2 linked regions of the Caenorhabditis elegans genome follow. The protein of the gene in region 1 interacts with the protein of each later gene in a pairwise test. Each region holds a gene or a part of one and is shown in the gene's direction. Other genes may lie near its edges.

Region 1 (7,484 bases):
GATTCACTTTTATTTTTGTTATTTTCAAGTATCTGATATCTCCAACCTTTCAAATTCGAAAATTCTGCCTGGAAATAACTACGGCCAACTACTAGATCGCATAAAGGCAATGGAAAAATTTAAGCCAAAAAAGAACGATCTTGATTCAAGGATGTTTGCAAAGTTTTTGGAAAACAAGAAGTTGGCTAAGATTTTAGAACAAACCGAGTTAAGAGAGCTGGCAACAGTATCTTGTCAAACCGATCTCAGTGGATTGGTTGTCCAAAGAAGAAATCCAAAAGGAAGACATGCAAGAATTGGTAGGTTTCTCCATATTCTTTAAAGTTTTGAACTATTAAAACTGATTTTGATCACTCAAACAATAATAATATTTGAACAGGTTCATGCTCATCTCAATCCACAATGTCCACGTTGCTCCCCAATAAAATGCATGCACCGGATGAAGATTCTGTAATGTCATTCACGTTTGGAGATCTGAAATTTGATTACAAAACAGAACCATTTATTGATGAATACTACATTCGTGAATCGAATCATTCTATATTTGATGTAGGTTTCAAATAATATATTCAATCAATATCATTGTGTAAACACAGTTTGATGAAGATGAAACGGTGAGGATACCACAAAAGATGTTGATTTCAAGACCAGGAATGCCTCCACCACCTCCATCTCGTCCATTAAATCTTGCTTCACCTTTGAGAACTCTTTTAGAGAAAGAACAGAAGTATGATGAAGATCCAGAAATTCAGTTAACTCCAAGACGATTGAATTCATTATCAGATATTCAGTAAGTTCCTAAAAAATTATTCAGCCAAGATATGTTTCCTGTACCGAATAGTATAAAAATATTTCAGAATTGGAAAACTCCAAAAACCTTTTAAAAAGAAGAAGAGTATGAGCTTTCTTGAAATGTTGTTGTGTAATTTCGGTGTAACTCTAAATCCTGCTGCTTTCACAGACATTTTTTGCTTATTTCTTCTCTTACAAAAATGCAGTTTAAACTTTAAAAGATTTCAAAAAATATATTGGACACTCGCTATCACATTTGCCCACTGTATATCCATGCCAGCTATTTATTTCAATCAATGATTTTTCCACTTTGAAAGTAATATTGTGCATTTCCAGGGCTCGTAAAGTAAAACTTGGCGTGGATGAAAATCTTCAACATGCTCGCCTTGTCTGTGGTTTGTTACCTCAAGATTTTGATTCTCCATCAACTTCCACGTAATGTTTTCTCGCTGTTAAAACTCAATTGAATCACTTCAATTTTCAGGTCGACGTCAATGATAGATTCTGGATATGAACTTTCAAAACGAGATGCGTCTACAATGGCTTAATTATCACACTTTTAAAATATTGCTACTCTAAAATGTCTTTTCAACTTTTCAGTGTTTATATCCGGTTTATATGTATTACGGGTCATGTCGTGTCAATAAAATGGTAATTGTATAAGAAGTGGGCCAATAGTGTGCTCTTTTATTTGTCATGTGTCCTGGTGGCAGAAATACAGTAATTTGATGCCTACACGCAACAGTAATACTTTACTAATCTCTTTTAACTAATATGTACACACAAACTTTCATGACCTTTGTTCGTTCGTTCCCTAATCTTAGTAAAAAAGTATAGAGAAGAGGATATTGTGAATCCATTTTGTGTGTGTAGGTGGAGAAACGCACACACAAATCAGCAAGGAACAAGAAGTTGAGCAAAAAAGATTACGGTAAGTGGACAAACAGATAACGCGGCCGTATTTTTGGATCCAAAAGCCAAAATTGTTGATGAGGAAGATTGATGATGCGCAAATTAGGGAGCAGTTTTTGGAAGGTCAAAGAGAAGCCCGTCCGCACGCATCTCCCGCGTACACACCACAAATAAGGTAGTTTACTTTTCGGCGGCATCCCTTTGCGGCTGTACACAATAATCTTGTAGAAGATGATTCTAATACTTGTAATTGGATTAAGGTTAGTTGTGAATACGAGACAGTGATACTGTTCACAAGTTTTCTTTCGGGGAAATGTATATGTATATGAGTGAAGTTATGTTGAAAAATTGTCAAATTAAGTCAAAGAATTCAATGTAAAATTTTTAAGCCAAACTCTCAGTGATATTAATAGTCTTAATGTAGACAAAGCAAGTGATACAGTTACATAGTTAAGCACGACTATATGCGCTTTGTACCTACTCAAAGGGTTACTCAGAAATCGCTAGAACCTATCATAATGAGAGTTTGTTTTTTAAATACGTTAGAGCAAGATAAATTCAAGCCAAGATAATAGATTTGCCTTACAGGCAACTATTTTCTGACTGATTTCCTGAAATGTAAAAATTAATAGAAAAACTATTTAAAGCAAAGTTTTGAGCAAAATCGAATCCTAAAGTTACTGAACTACGTTCAAGCTTTCGGAGCATTAACCTAGAATAAATCCAGTGCGCGAAAGTTTGGGGGATCATTGCGAACACGAAATGAGCATAAATATATTGGGTGCTCATTTGCCGAACCACTTATAGTTCGAGCACTACACTTGATTATTGTTAGCCGAGATGCTCATACCCCAGCAAATAAATAACGTGTGCAAAAAGATAGAATTTGATCTATTATGGAAAGTTATGTATTAAGATATCGACTTTGGTACCTAATCGATTATTGTTATTAATTTGTGAAAGGAGCCTTGATGAGATTTATCTTTAACCATTAATTGCATACAATGACCACTAATTCAAATCTATTCCGCAATTGGGTCCTTGTCTTTATAAAGAATGCCAAAATGTTGTACTGGTTTCAAAAGTAAGTAGGCATAGTTTCAAGTGTAATAAAGTTTTTACATAATCTATATATTTGTCTTGATGGAAATATTTAAGTATCCGATATAAAACTAATTACACTAGTCTCAGAAGATCTTTTTTTTAATAACACAATCTTTACTAGAAATGAATTTCAAAAAAATAGGACTAAATTGTACTTTCCATTCCTCTTCACTCTACTCATCCTCACATCTCCGAGATTTGTCACAAAAGAGATGAAATTGTATACTGAGCTTACAAGAGTGCGCAGAGATATCTAAGCATACAAATCTACCGTACCGTCTTCGCTTTCTCCGCGATTTGTGGGTTGGCGAGCCAGAGGGAGCACAGGTGGGCGTGTTGCAATCAGCACAAGAGGGTCGGTTGTCAATTGCACTCGAGTCTCGAGAGCCGATGTTCAACGTGTCGGCGCTAGCAGCAGCGACGCCTTCTATCGCTTCGGTTTCATCCGTTGCAAGCCCATCGGAGCAACATGGATTGTCTACAAGTGTTGGCGTCGGAGTGAATGATACCACTTCTCGAACTGGAGATGGCGGCGCCGCTTCATCGGCTTCAAGTGCATCAGCGGCGCCACAACAGCAGTCACAATCGGCACTTCATAACAAGTAAGTGTTTTTTGAAGAGAGAAGGTCGGAGAGGAGAGGAGGCTTGTCGTCTTGAAGATGATCCACTTTATGTGAAGAGATCCCCCTCCACTCATATATTCGATTACATCCTCCACTAGTATCTGTTCATTTCAGGACGTTTCATTTCTATATCCACAACTTTTCCATTCGCGTTATTCATTTCTACTCAATTATTTCCAAGAAGTTTTTTGGCGAAAATTCCAAATCGTACGCAGTTTCTTTGAAATTTCCACAAACAAATGATATTTATGAAACAAAAATCTAATGATATTCAAACGAACAATTTAGTTTTACTTGCTTAAAATTATTTCGAATATTACATTTTCAGAAAGCAAAATTTATTCTAGTATTTTTTTATTGTCCTTCACCAATTCAATAATTGAAAAACGTATATTTCTAAACACACAAAATAAGGAAACGATATTGAGATGCGTTGTGTTCAAATTTTCCCCGATTGTTTCCTACAATGAAACGGGATGAAAATATCCTAAGAACTACTATGTATAGCTATGACGTGTTACAATAAGACATTCAAGCCTTTTAGCGTTGCAATTTTATCCGTTATGTTATGTTTTGTTGATTCGTGGTTCTGACTATCTTTAACCTTGAGACAAAATGCAACATCCACTTTCAACCATGTTCTCCCCATTTTCAAAGAAAATTTCCAATATCAGTATTAATAACAGTTGTGCTTAAATTTAAAATGTTTTCTACGAGTATAAAATCAACGAAAAGTTAATAAACCGCACAAAGCGACGTATCTTTTTTTAAAGATGCATTCATTCACCTAGAAAATGGTCAGCTCTCCTCGACCAAGCGCTTATATCAAAGCATTTTGGAAAATGTTTCACAATAAAGTTTTAACTATTTTCGGCAACTTCAAAAGGCGGTGGAGAAGTTATTTGAAACTCTTGAATCGCCGCTTCTCGTACCTTTTTGCAAATCAAAACACCGCATATCTTATATAAAAGCTTGTTTTTTGTCCGACTCCTTCACATTTCACCATGCAAACTTATGCATTTTCCAGACTCGAAGCTAAATGGGACACTCTACTTCCCACCGACACCAATTTACAATGTTCCACGTGGCCTGATAGCATTCCATTACTTGCAGGTAAGTAGATTTGAACTTCTTTTCTCGAATATCCAATAACGAATTGTTGTGTAACATGTAATGCGGGAATAAGTAACACAACACCTTCCCGTGAGAACACTATACAGTATTCGTATGTCTTTTCTGAATATAGGTGATATAGGGATACTGTATACGGTATACTGTCTCATTCTCTTATTTAAATTCGCTATTTCGTGTTTACCTAGAATCGGAAATGAATGGATGCAAGTAAACAGAAAGGGGCTTTTTCTCTGTTCTTGGCGCCGCGACTCTCTATCACGAGTCTTTTTCCTCTTCTACCTTTCTTTATTCTAAAGCCAGACAAATTATTATGCAATTAGCAAGTGAAACAAGGGTTTTCCCAGTTTCAGGATATTCTGCTACTCCCACATTTTCCTTCGATCCTTGCACATACGGCAGCTATGATCCATCTGCATATTTTGCTTCAAACGGAATTGCTGGTAAGTTTTTTCCCTATTAGAAAAATAAATGTTAAACCTACCTAACTGAATTTTGTAGGTTCCATGTACACTCTACCTGATCAATTTCCACGTTCTGAGAATGATATGCTAGATAACAGCAATACATCAAATGGAAACAAAAGCGATAAAGATGGGTGAGTTCATAATTTCAATTTAATTTTGATTCTTATTCCAACGTATATTTTCAGAATCAAACTTGAAGATGAAGATGAAATTCTGGAAGATGAAGAGAATGACGAAGAAGATGATGGAACTGGAAAACGGAAAAAGAGAAAGCGTCGCGTTTTGTTCACAAAAGCACAAACTTATGAACTTGAACGACGATTCCGCTCGCAAAAATATCTGAGCGCGCCTGAACGTGAAGCTCTTGCAATGCAAATTCGACTTACTCCGACTCAAGTAAAAATTTGGTTCCAAAATCATCGGTTAGTATTTTATGAAATTTTGATTTATTTGTGGTTACATAATGACTTTTCTATGTTCAATTATAACTTTTAAAAATTTAGATACAAAACAAAAAAAAGTCATACGGATAAGCCAATAAACGCGGCGCTTCTTACCACAATGCCCAATGCATTTTCAAGTCAATCGACAGCGGCCAGTTTTCCAACAAGAGCGTGAGTTTTATTCAAAATCAATTCATTTTTATATTTTGTGACATGGAGAAAGTTGGTTGATATCAAACAAAATTTAAAATATTAAATTGTACCTGTATATTTACAGAATGCCGATACCAATGCTAGTCCGTGACTCTTCTGCTCGTTCTTCGGACATTTCCTCAACATCTCCATACACGGTAGCATTTGGAAGTGCCAATTCAGGATACCTACCAACACCTTCCGCCTACCTCCCAGCCACTTCCGGGTATTTTTCAAACGGACCTTCAGCAGCTTCTTCCTACATGACCAATACTCAATGGTGGCCTTCTTGATTTCTCTAATACTCTATACCATGTCAATTTTTCCCAGAATACATCTCGTTTCTCACTTTTAATTGCTCATTTCTCATTATTACATATTTTCTCCGAATTGTGATCTACAAATTTATAACAACAAATCAGTTCGGACTACCGGTTTTTGAAATATTTTATCAGTTATGCCCATACACATGTTTTATGTAAATTGTGATAATTTTATTAAATGACTTAAAATTTACGTTGAAACCACATGAAAAATGTATGTTTAACTATGTATAATGCATTTAACAGACCGTCTTCTATGTACATGTTTTACGATTTGGAAGATTTCGTATCGATTACACAATTTCCAAGGAGAAAGTTCACAAAAAATTTTGCAGTTTTGAATAAAGTGGGGAGTACATTTTGATGTATGACATAGAATGTTTTTAACACGTGTGCTTATTGCCAAGTTGCATTTGAACATTTTTGTTCACCCTTCAATTAAACTTTCAACAAATTAGGAAAACGAAAATAAATTATTGATTGAGTGATTTCTTCATGGCATTCTTCATGGCATTTCAAAAAAGTCCACACAAGAACATTTTGTTGGTTTTAAATATGAATTCAGTTTGTTTTTACTGCCTTGAAAAACGAATCCTTTTGAAATGTGAGTTTTTTCCTTAAACTATTTCTATTGTCGCAAGAGTTTCTCAAAGTCATAGATAAATTTCGAACACTTATACACAGATTGTTCCGGCTCATTCAAAACCAATTCATTTAATTGCATTTCAACGCAAAACTCTATTTTCCAAATAGGCTAAACCAGAGAAAATTAATTTTATGATTAGATTGATTGCCGTAGAAAATTAAATTTGCAAATTCGTATTGCCATGACCTATGGATATATCCTTTAAAAAACGCCAGAAATATTTTTCCAACAAAATTCCATCTAATTTGAGTCTTCCCGACGTCAAGTGATTTTGAAATCTTTCTGGAAATTTTACGTCAATGTGTTTTGCTTTTTGTTAGATGAACGCCAGCCAGGTCGCATTTTCCCCAGATAATCTCTGTAAGTATTTAGTATTGAATACTCTCAATTTGATGCATTTTCAGCAAGATTTGAGATTTGGTCACTGATAATAAAAACGTGTTATTATTTCATGTTGACATCAAATTTCCCACGCACTCGTTGCCTATAATCTTCTTATTTTCCAACTTTTTCTATGCTAAATTGCTGTTTACTTGTTCCGACGTGTAGTCGTCTCAGATATTGGAGAGAAAATTTTATAAATGATACTTGACTCAAAATTACAACTTGAAAAAGGTTAGATGCTCAAATGTTTTGACTCTGCAAATATTTTGTGTTAATTCATTCTACCGTGTAAAACTGATGTTCAGCTTTTTTCACTAAGAGCAAAAACGGCTGAAGAATAAGAAAAAATTGGGTGGCAAGAAAGGAAAATGGGTGGCAAGACCAATTGTACTTTGCCTAAATATTAGATGATCAAAGGATAGAATGTTTTGTCGTCCACTGCCTTTCCTCATATCTCTCACCCGAAA
Region 2 (6,628 bases), on another chromosome or scaffold:
CAATGTGGAAACTCTGATTAACATCAAAAGGATACTGTAGTTGGTTGCCACGTCATCATGATCTCAACTGACAACTTGTGCAACTACAAACGTTCTCTTTTCAATACAATATATATATTTGTGCCATTTCCACTCCTCTGACTCATAAACTCATTTACGTGCATACGTCCGGTGAGTGCCACGTCATGGTGAACTGTTGCACATATTGGTTTTTTGTAAGAATATTCATTTTTGACGAGAGCGACGAAATTAATGATAAAAGATGGAGGACCACATGTATTGGTGAACTGAAGAAAAGGTCATTGGATTGACACTTAACGATCTGAGAATGTGGACGTTGTGTTTGTGTTTCGAAAAGATTGAACGATGTACTCAAATTGTAAGAGAAAAAAGATATGTATGAATAACTCATGACATATAAGTTTACTCTTTATTGTATTTTTAGTGTACTGTTGGTTTACTGTAGCTTTTAGGAAAGTTATTAAAATTTACTTGAGAATTATGGCTACTAGGAAAGAGAGCACAAATAGCGCTAAATTTTAATGTTATTGGAGAAACCATTGAGCCAGTGCATTGCTCAGTTTTTAACATTAAGGTAGATTTTGAAAAATCCCAATATAATAAAAATGTTTCAATTTTTCACATAAGGGGTTTTATTTTATATATTCTGGCGAACCAGAAATAGAAAATTGCTTGACTAACGCCTGTAAGGAAATTGTCAAAAACAATGGGATATACAGTGCTAAAATGACCAAATGATATAGTAAAACTTCGTTCCTGTGTATTAATTTAACTAGTACAACGTTTATATTTTAATCAGGATTTTTTTTATCTGTCTTAACATGGTAGTCGTTCGACATTGGTCTAAATTTATAGAAAAATAAAAAACATATCGAAACATTTGGCAATTTACCAAATCTTAAATATTTTGGAGTGTTTCTTTATAATATTTGGTAATACTATGTGTATTCAGACGAAACACAAACTGACGAAGAACATCACCAATTTCTTTTTGCCGGAAATACTATAAAAGCTCTAGGTAATCTAGGCGTTCACACGATTAACAATTCGTACCAAAATTAAAATAAAATAAAATGAAATAAGGCTCTACAGTATGCTCAGACATAAATTAAAAACTTTTCTAAATGCATATCAAGAAATTCCTGACCATAAATAATTTTTTAAAAAAATCAGCTCCTTTAATATATCTAAACTTCTTACATATATCTAAAGTAACTCAATAGTAGTTAAATCTTACCAAAAAAAAGTTAAAAATAATTGAAAACTCTCGCTTACCGTCCGAGTTGATTTTAATCACATCATCCTGATAAACGATTCGAAATCAATATCTTGAACTTTTGTTCCGTTTCGTTTTCAGGACGATGTCATATCTAGATCAACTCAAAATATCATAAGAATAAATAAAGAAAGCAGTAAAGTGATGTAGAATGAAACGAACAAGTGAACGGCCCTTCCCATTCTAAGAGGTCCTTTTATTGGCGCCATGTGTAATAGTGTAATAACTAAGAGACACTGAGAAACAGGTGGATGAGAAAAGGGCGCCGAACCGACTGGCTCCGCCTACTTTTCGGAAGATAATGTGCTCGTGAACGGGGAGTGGGGACGAAAAGGACGGAAGAAGAGAGGAACGGAGGACCAGATGAACGATGATGACTGCCGAATCGAAGGGAACAAAAAGGACAGATTTATATGCGAAGTGGCAGGAAAATTGAGGGGTACGATACAATATGGAAAAAAGCTAAAGAAGAAAAGAAGAAGAAGAAGCAAGGTGACGGGTGGCCAGAAAAAATAGTATGAAAAAAAGAAAATACGAATACCGTATTTCATAAATTGGAGGTAAATAACTATTTAATAGATTTTGTCTGAATGAAACTATAATACTCATAAATGAACAGTATAGCACTTTGAAATGTTTTAGATTTTCAAAAAAAAATTTGGACAAAGTTTCGGTAAATTGCTTTTTCTGAATATATAAATAATTTGAAAATAATTAGAATGGGAAAATTGTAGTTTTATTTTGTAGGGTGATATCCAAATTATGAGTGGCAAAATCTGAATTATCGTCACTTTATTTTTTTCTGCAAACTTTATTGAAAGGTTAGCAATGTACGATACTATATCGTTTTGGCACTTTTCAATATTTTTGGAAGCATTTTAACTTTTATTTCAATGGAATATGAACAATTTAAAAATAAAATTGGAAGAAACCATTTTTTTTTATCAAAAAATGATTGGTGAAAACTGTGTGTTTCAAAATTGTTAATATTCCACTTTTGAATAAGTAACATTTCAAAAAAGTTGATTAGAAAAAATTAAATTGTTACAAAAAAACGACAATTCCAAAAGTTTTGTAAGTTCCTGAAAAACAATTGCAAAATTATTAAGAGCACAAAATGCTGAAATATGCGTTTTTAAATAGTTATGTGTGTCCTTTTGTAACAACTTAATTCAAAATTAATTTTTTAAAGTGTTTGATGTGCAATACTATTATAGAATACCTTCAAGGATGCCGTCATAATAATAAAAGTAACTTTTTTGTGTTACTCAAATATAGGTTACGGTAGCTCCACGGGCATTTTAATGACAACTTACATAAAACTTCTAAACAATAAATTCGAATTATCGATCGGATTTATTTCACTCGACTTCATAAAGTTATAGAAACTAGAAGAATCATTACGACTTTAAAAAATATCCAAACGATTTGTACATATGCAATTGCAATTGTTAAGTATATATCTGATTGAACAGTCAGTTTTTTTTTTCTAATTCTGTGGTATACGTTTCAAAATTGTACATTTCCCCTTTTCATTCCTCCATTTATTGTAATAAATTTGAAAAATGTCTCTTTGTTTCGATTCAGACAAGCTATTTGCAAACCATGGTAACCGTTAACAACGGCAGTAAAATAAGAGGAAAAGTGCGCGGCGGGCTTGCAGAGGGCGTGTAACTCCTCCCCATAATTCGTGCGGGACTCTGCAAAATTGAATTTTCTTGTGCGCATGCGTTCCTTTCGAAGAAATATTTTAACTGGTTTTTACATTTTTCTCCTAATCGAGTTTTAAAATTAGTTGAATTATTCTTTTCTTCCTATTTCAGATATAAATACGTAGATTCTCCATCAGAAATGGGTAGAAAGAAGAAGAAGGTCGATAAACCATGGTGCTGGTGAGTTTTTAAAATAATTGTACTGTTCTTGAAGTTAAACTATTCAATTTAGGTATTGTAACCGAGAATTTGACGATGAAAAGATTCTGATACAACATCAAAAAGCCAAACATTTCAAATGTCATATTTGTCACAAAAAATTGTTCAGTGGTCCAGGATTATCGATTCACTGCATGCAGGTTAATTTTTTTTTGTTCTTGAAAAAAGAAGTCATTCGGTAATCCCACGAATTACAGGTACATAAAGAAACTATAGACAAAATACCGGCAGCTGTACATGGCAGAGATAATATCCACGTTGAAATTTACGGAATGCAAGGAATTCCGTCTGGCGCTTATCGTGGAGCAGCTGACGAAGAACCGGACGAAAAACGATCAAGGATGGACAATGGACCACCTATGCCAACTCCTATGCCTTTCCCACAGCATTTCCCATTTCCTGGAATGCCTCCTATGCCGTCGGGTGCGGAAAACATATTTAAGTTCCATTCTAAAAACGGTTGATTTTTTAGGTCCACCACCACCGTCAATGGCATACGGAATGCCTCCAATGCCATCTGGTATGATGCCACCTCGCGGGATGCCAGGAGCTTATCCTCCGCCACGTGGATACCCTCCAGCGCCAGCTCCTGGCGTGTATATGCCTCCGCCAGGAATGCCTGGTGCATATCCTCCACCACGTATGCCAATAGGTCATGGACCACCTGGTGGCCCACCCATGCCTGGTCCTCCTCAAAGAAGCCGATTTGATCAACCTGACGGCGGAGACAGGTGGGGTCCACCAATGCGAGGAGTACCACGGACGCCACCATATGAAAACGAGCATGGTGAGTTTATGGCATTCGTAAAAGCTTGATTTAGCAAGCTAATAAATTTCAGAACATCAAGATTATCAAGCTCCAGATGACTACAATCAAGGAGGATACGATGATCGGTTTAGAGAAGGTGATCGTGGAGGTCCACCGGGAGGTAGCCGATTTGATCAAGTGAAAGCTGAACTAAAGGAGGAAATCGTCGAGGTATATTCCTTGATTTCAAATAATGGGATTTCGATCGAGCTTTATTGATATTTCATAAAATAAAGTTAAATAAAACTTGTTTTTAATTTTAATATTTTAAGCCTAACAACGGTCCACCAACTACGTCTTCTGGTGCAGCTGCCGCTTCTGCTGCGGCAGTAGTTGCATCTAAACTTGGCTCGAGGACAAGAATAGTCTATCCAGATGATCATTCGCTGTCTCTAGAGGAGCGTCGTGTAAAAATGCTCTTCGAAAAACGCAGCAATCCCTATCACTGAGCACTTCCGAATCTCTTCTTCTTTCATGTCCCGCCCATTTACCTTATATTCTGTGTTTTACTGAAAATTGTCCTCTCGTCCATGTTAAATTATTGAATAATCCATCGATGGGTTTTTATTTTTGAAATTCCAAAAAAAAAAAGCAATTTTTATCAATTGAATAAATTATCACCCACAGTAAAAAAAGATTGAAAATGAAGAAAAAACATCAATATTGGTAAGAAAGAAGTAGATTATGCTCGCAAACTCGGAGAAACATTCGAGTTAAGTGAAAACATGAAATGCTATAAAAATTTGATGATAAAACAGCTGCATAAAGGAATAATAATTTAGAAAGAACGAGTTATAAAATGCAATAAGTAATTTTTAGTAAATATTTAATCTTCATCGACAAACGAAATAGTTCCCGCGTTTTTCATATATCTCTTATACCTTTTGTACCGACCCGATTGAGCCATTTTTTCTTGTTCCGCAGCGTCTCGTTCGGCTTTCCACGTTGCACAGTTTCGTTTCAGCCAGCATTCTCGTTCAAAAAGATCATCAATGTCTTCATCAGTGTACTTCTGAAAATTAAATTATTAACTTTTGATGATAGAAAAAAGTATTTACCTGATCGAATTCCATTTGTGAAACTCCAATGTACTTTCTAATGAGATAAAGCTTGGCGTCATCATCATATTCCTCCTTTTGAATTGCAAATCTCCAATACCAAAGTGCTGTCCATTTAATGTATCGGAATATCGTTAATGGGAAAATAATTGTGTGCCATGCGAGAGTATCGTAGATGGATTCTCGTTTGTAGCCACCCCTAAAATGTAGCTCAAATTATTTTACGAAAAATCTCAAGAATAACTGACGTGACATCAAGATTATCAATAATTATTTGCTTGATAACTTCATCATTGTCAACTCCTTTGTTCTTTTTTAATTTTCCATTCCGATCCATTTCCAGCAACTGAAAGCTAGATATTAATTACAGTGCAAGCTTAAAAATCGACCTACGCCTTTATCAATTCCATCTTTAATTGCCATATTGCGGAATTTTCCAACACCGGTTGCATATTCGATTGCTTCTGAGAACTTGTGTTTTGCAGAGAGGAATTGGAAGAGTGAAATGATAAGAATAGTTCCAACAATGACAATTCGAAGATCTACTTTTGGAGCGGCGCGAAGACGATAATATTGATAGTAATTGTAGAATCTTAAATAAAGAATATTTAAGTGTTCATATTCAGAGCGTCATACCTTTGATCAGGATGATCGAGATAATAGTCGTAATTAGTTTTTGCTTCATCATCCTTAAGTGTTTCATAAGCAGTGGCAATTACTCGGAAACGTTCTTCGGCGAGAAGCTTCTCTTCCTTATTCTTGACTCTATCTGGATGATGCTTCCTAGCCAGAGCTCTATATGCTTTAGCTAGCTTCTGCTTATCGAATTCCTCACGATTGACTTCGAGTACTGTAAATATGAATGCATTTATAGTTTTAACGTTTTCAGATCTTCATGAAAGTTTTGACTCACCATCATAACAGTTTTCTAATCCACAATAGAGCTCTGGAGCAAATCCGACCGATTCACATTCCTGGACGAAAAATGATACTAGTAAGAACAAGATGGGCGCCGCAATTGCTGAGCGCATTCTGCTGAAAAACAAAGATTGAGAAAAAATTTAAAAATGAGAACTGAAATATGAATCACCGAAAATCGGAAAATGAGAGAAAAACACAAATAATCATAGGTGAAATGTGACATGTTTATGAAGCAATCAACACCGGAAACAATGTAAACATTACGGATCAAAACCGATCTGATAGTGAGATTATGGAGTCAACATAAAATAAAAATAGTCATGTACAGTAAATGTGCAATAGAAAGTTTTAGGCGATACTTTGATCCTTTGATGCAGCATAATCACCGAAATACTTATTGTAATGCTCGTTGTCAATGTCAAGGAATGTAACAAGTACAATCCGTTCAATTGTATCATTCTTTTCAAGATACTCGGTCAGGAAATTGGTGACGGTTTTAGCGGCATCGTCATTTGGATAACCGTACACACCAGTAGAAATGCAACAGAAGGCCTGAAAATATATAATATTTGCAGTTATTTTTCAGATGAAACACTTACAATACTCTTCATCC

What was found. The genes of interacting proteins can lie anywhere in the genome.
Region 2: the proteins of ceh-22 (region 1) and znf-207 interact in a two-hybrid assay, tested with the Caenorhabditis elegans proteins (one large-scale study listed by BioGRID).

Annotation. Positions count from the first base shown.
Region 1 is NC_003283.11:10,669,436-10,676,919, forward strand, and holds ceh-22 (Homeobox domain-containing protein), read left to right. Parts: upstream 1-3,198; coding exon 3,199-3,410; exon of another isoform or gene 3,411-3,488; intron 3,489-3,545; coding exon 3,546-3,638; intron 3,639-4,435; coding exon of another isoform or gene 4,436-4,458; coding exon 4,459-4,544; intron 4,545-4,796; exon of another isoform or gene 4,797-4,875; coding exon of another isoform or gene 4,876-4,909; coding exon 4,910-5,005; intron 5,006-5,063; coding exon 5,064-5,160; intron 5,161-5,214; coding exon 5,215-5,451; intron 5,452-5,532; coding exon 5,533-5,643; intron 5,644-5,749; coding exon 5,750-5,957; downstream 5,958-7,484. Other genes in the region: twk-12 (TWiK family of potassium channels protein 12), read left to right, coding at 30-299, 380-549, 597-790, 1,129-1,227, 1,277-1,340. UniProt on the Caenorhabditis elegans protein: Involved in combinatorial activation of gene expression in pharyngeal muscle. Specifically binds a site necessary for activity of the B subelement of myo-2 enhancer.
Region 2 is NC_003282.8:11,307,852-11,314,479, forward strand, and holds znf-207 (BED-type domain-containing protein), read left to right. Parts: upstream 1-3,120; 5' UTR 3,121-3,148; coding exon 3,149-3,189; intron 3,190-3,241; coding exon 3,242-3,368; intron 3,369-3,425; coding exon 3,426-3,651; intron 3,652-3,700; coding exon 3,701-4,015; intron 4,016-4,067; coding exon 4,068-4,207; coding exon of another isoform or gene 4,208-4,255; exon of another isoform or gene 4,256-4,288; intron 4,289-4,308; coding exon 4,309-4,485; 3' UTR 4,486-4,667; downstream 4,668-6,628. Other genes in the region: DnaJ homolog dnj-2, read right to left, coding at 4,863-5,048, 5,095-5,293, 5,343-5,440, 5,488-5,686, 5,731-5,944, 6,008-6,125; B0035.3 (Macro domain-containing protein), read right to left, coding at 6,364-6,567, 6,615-6,628.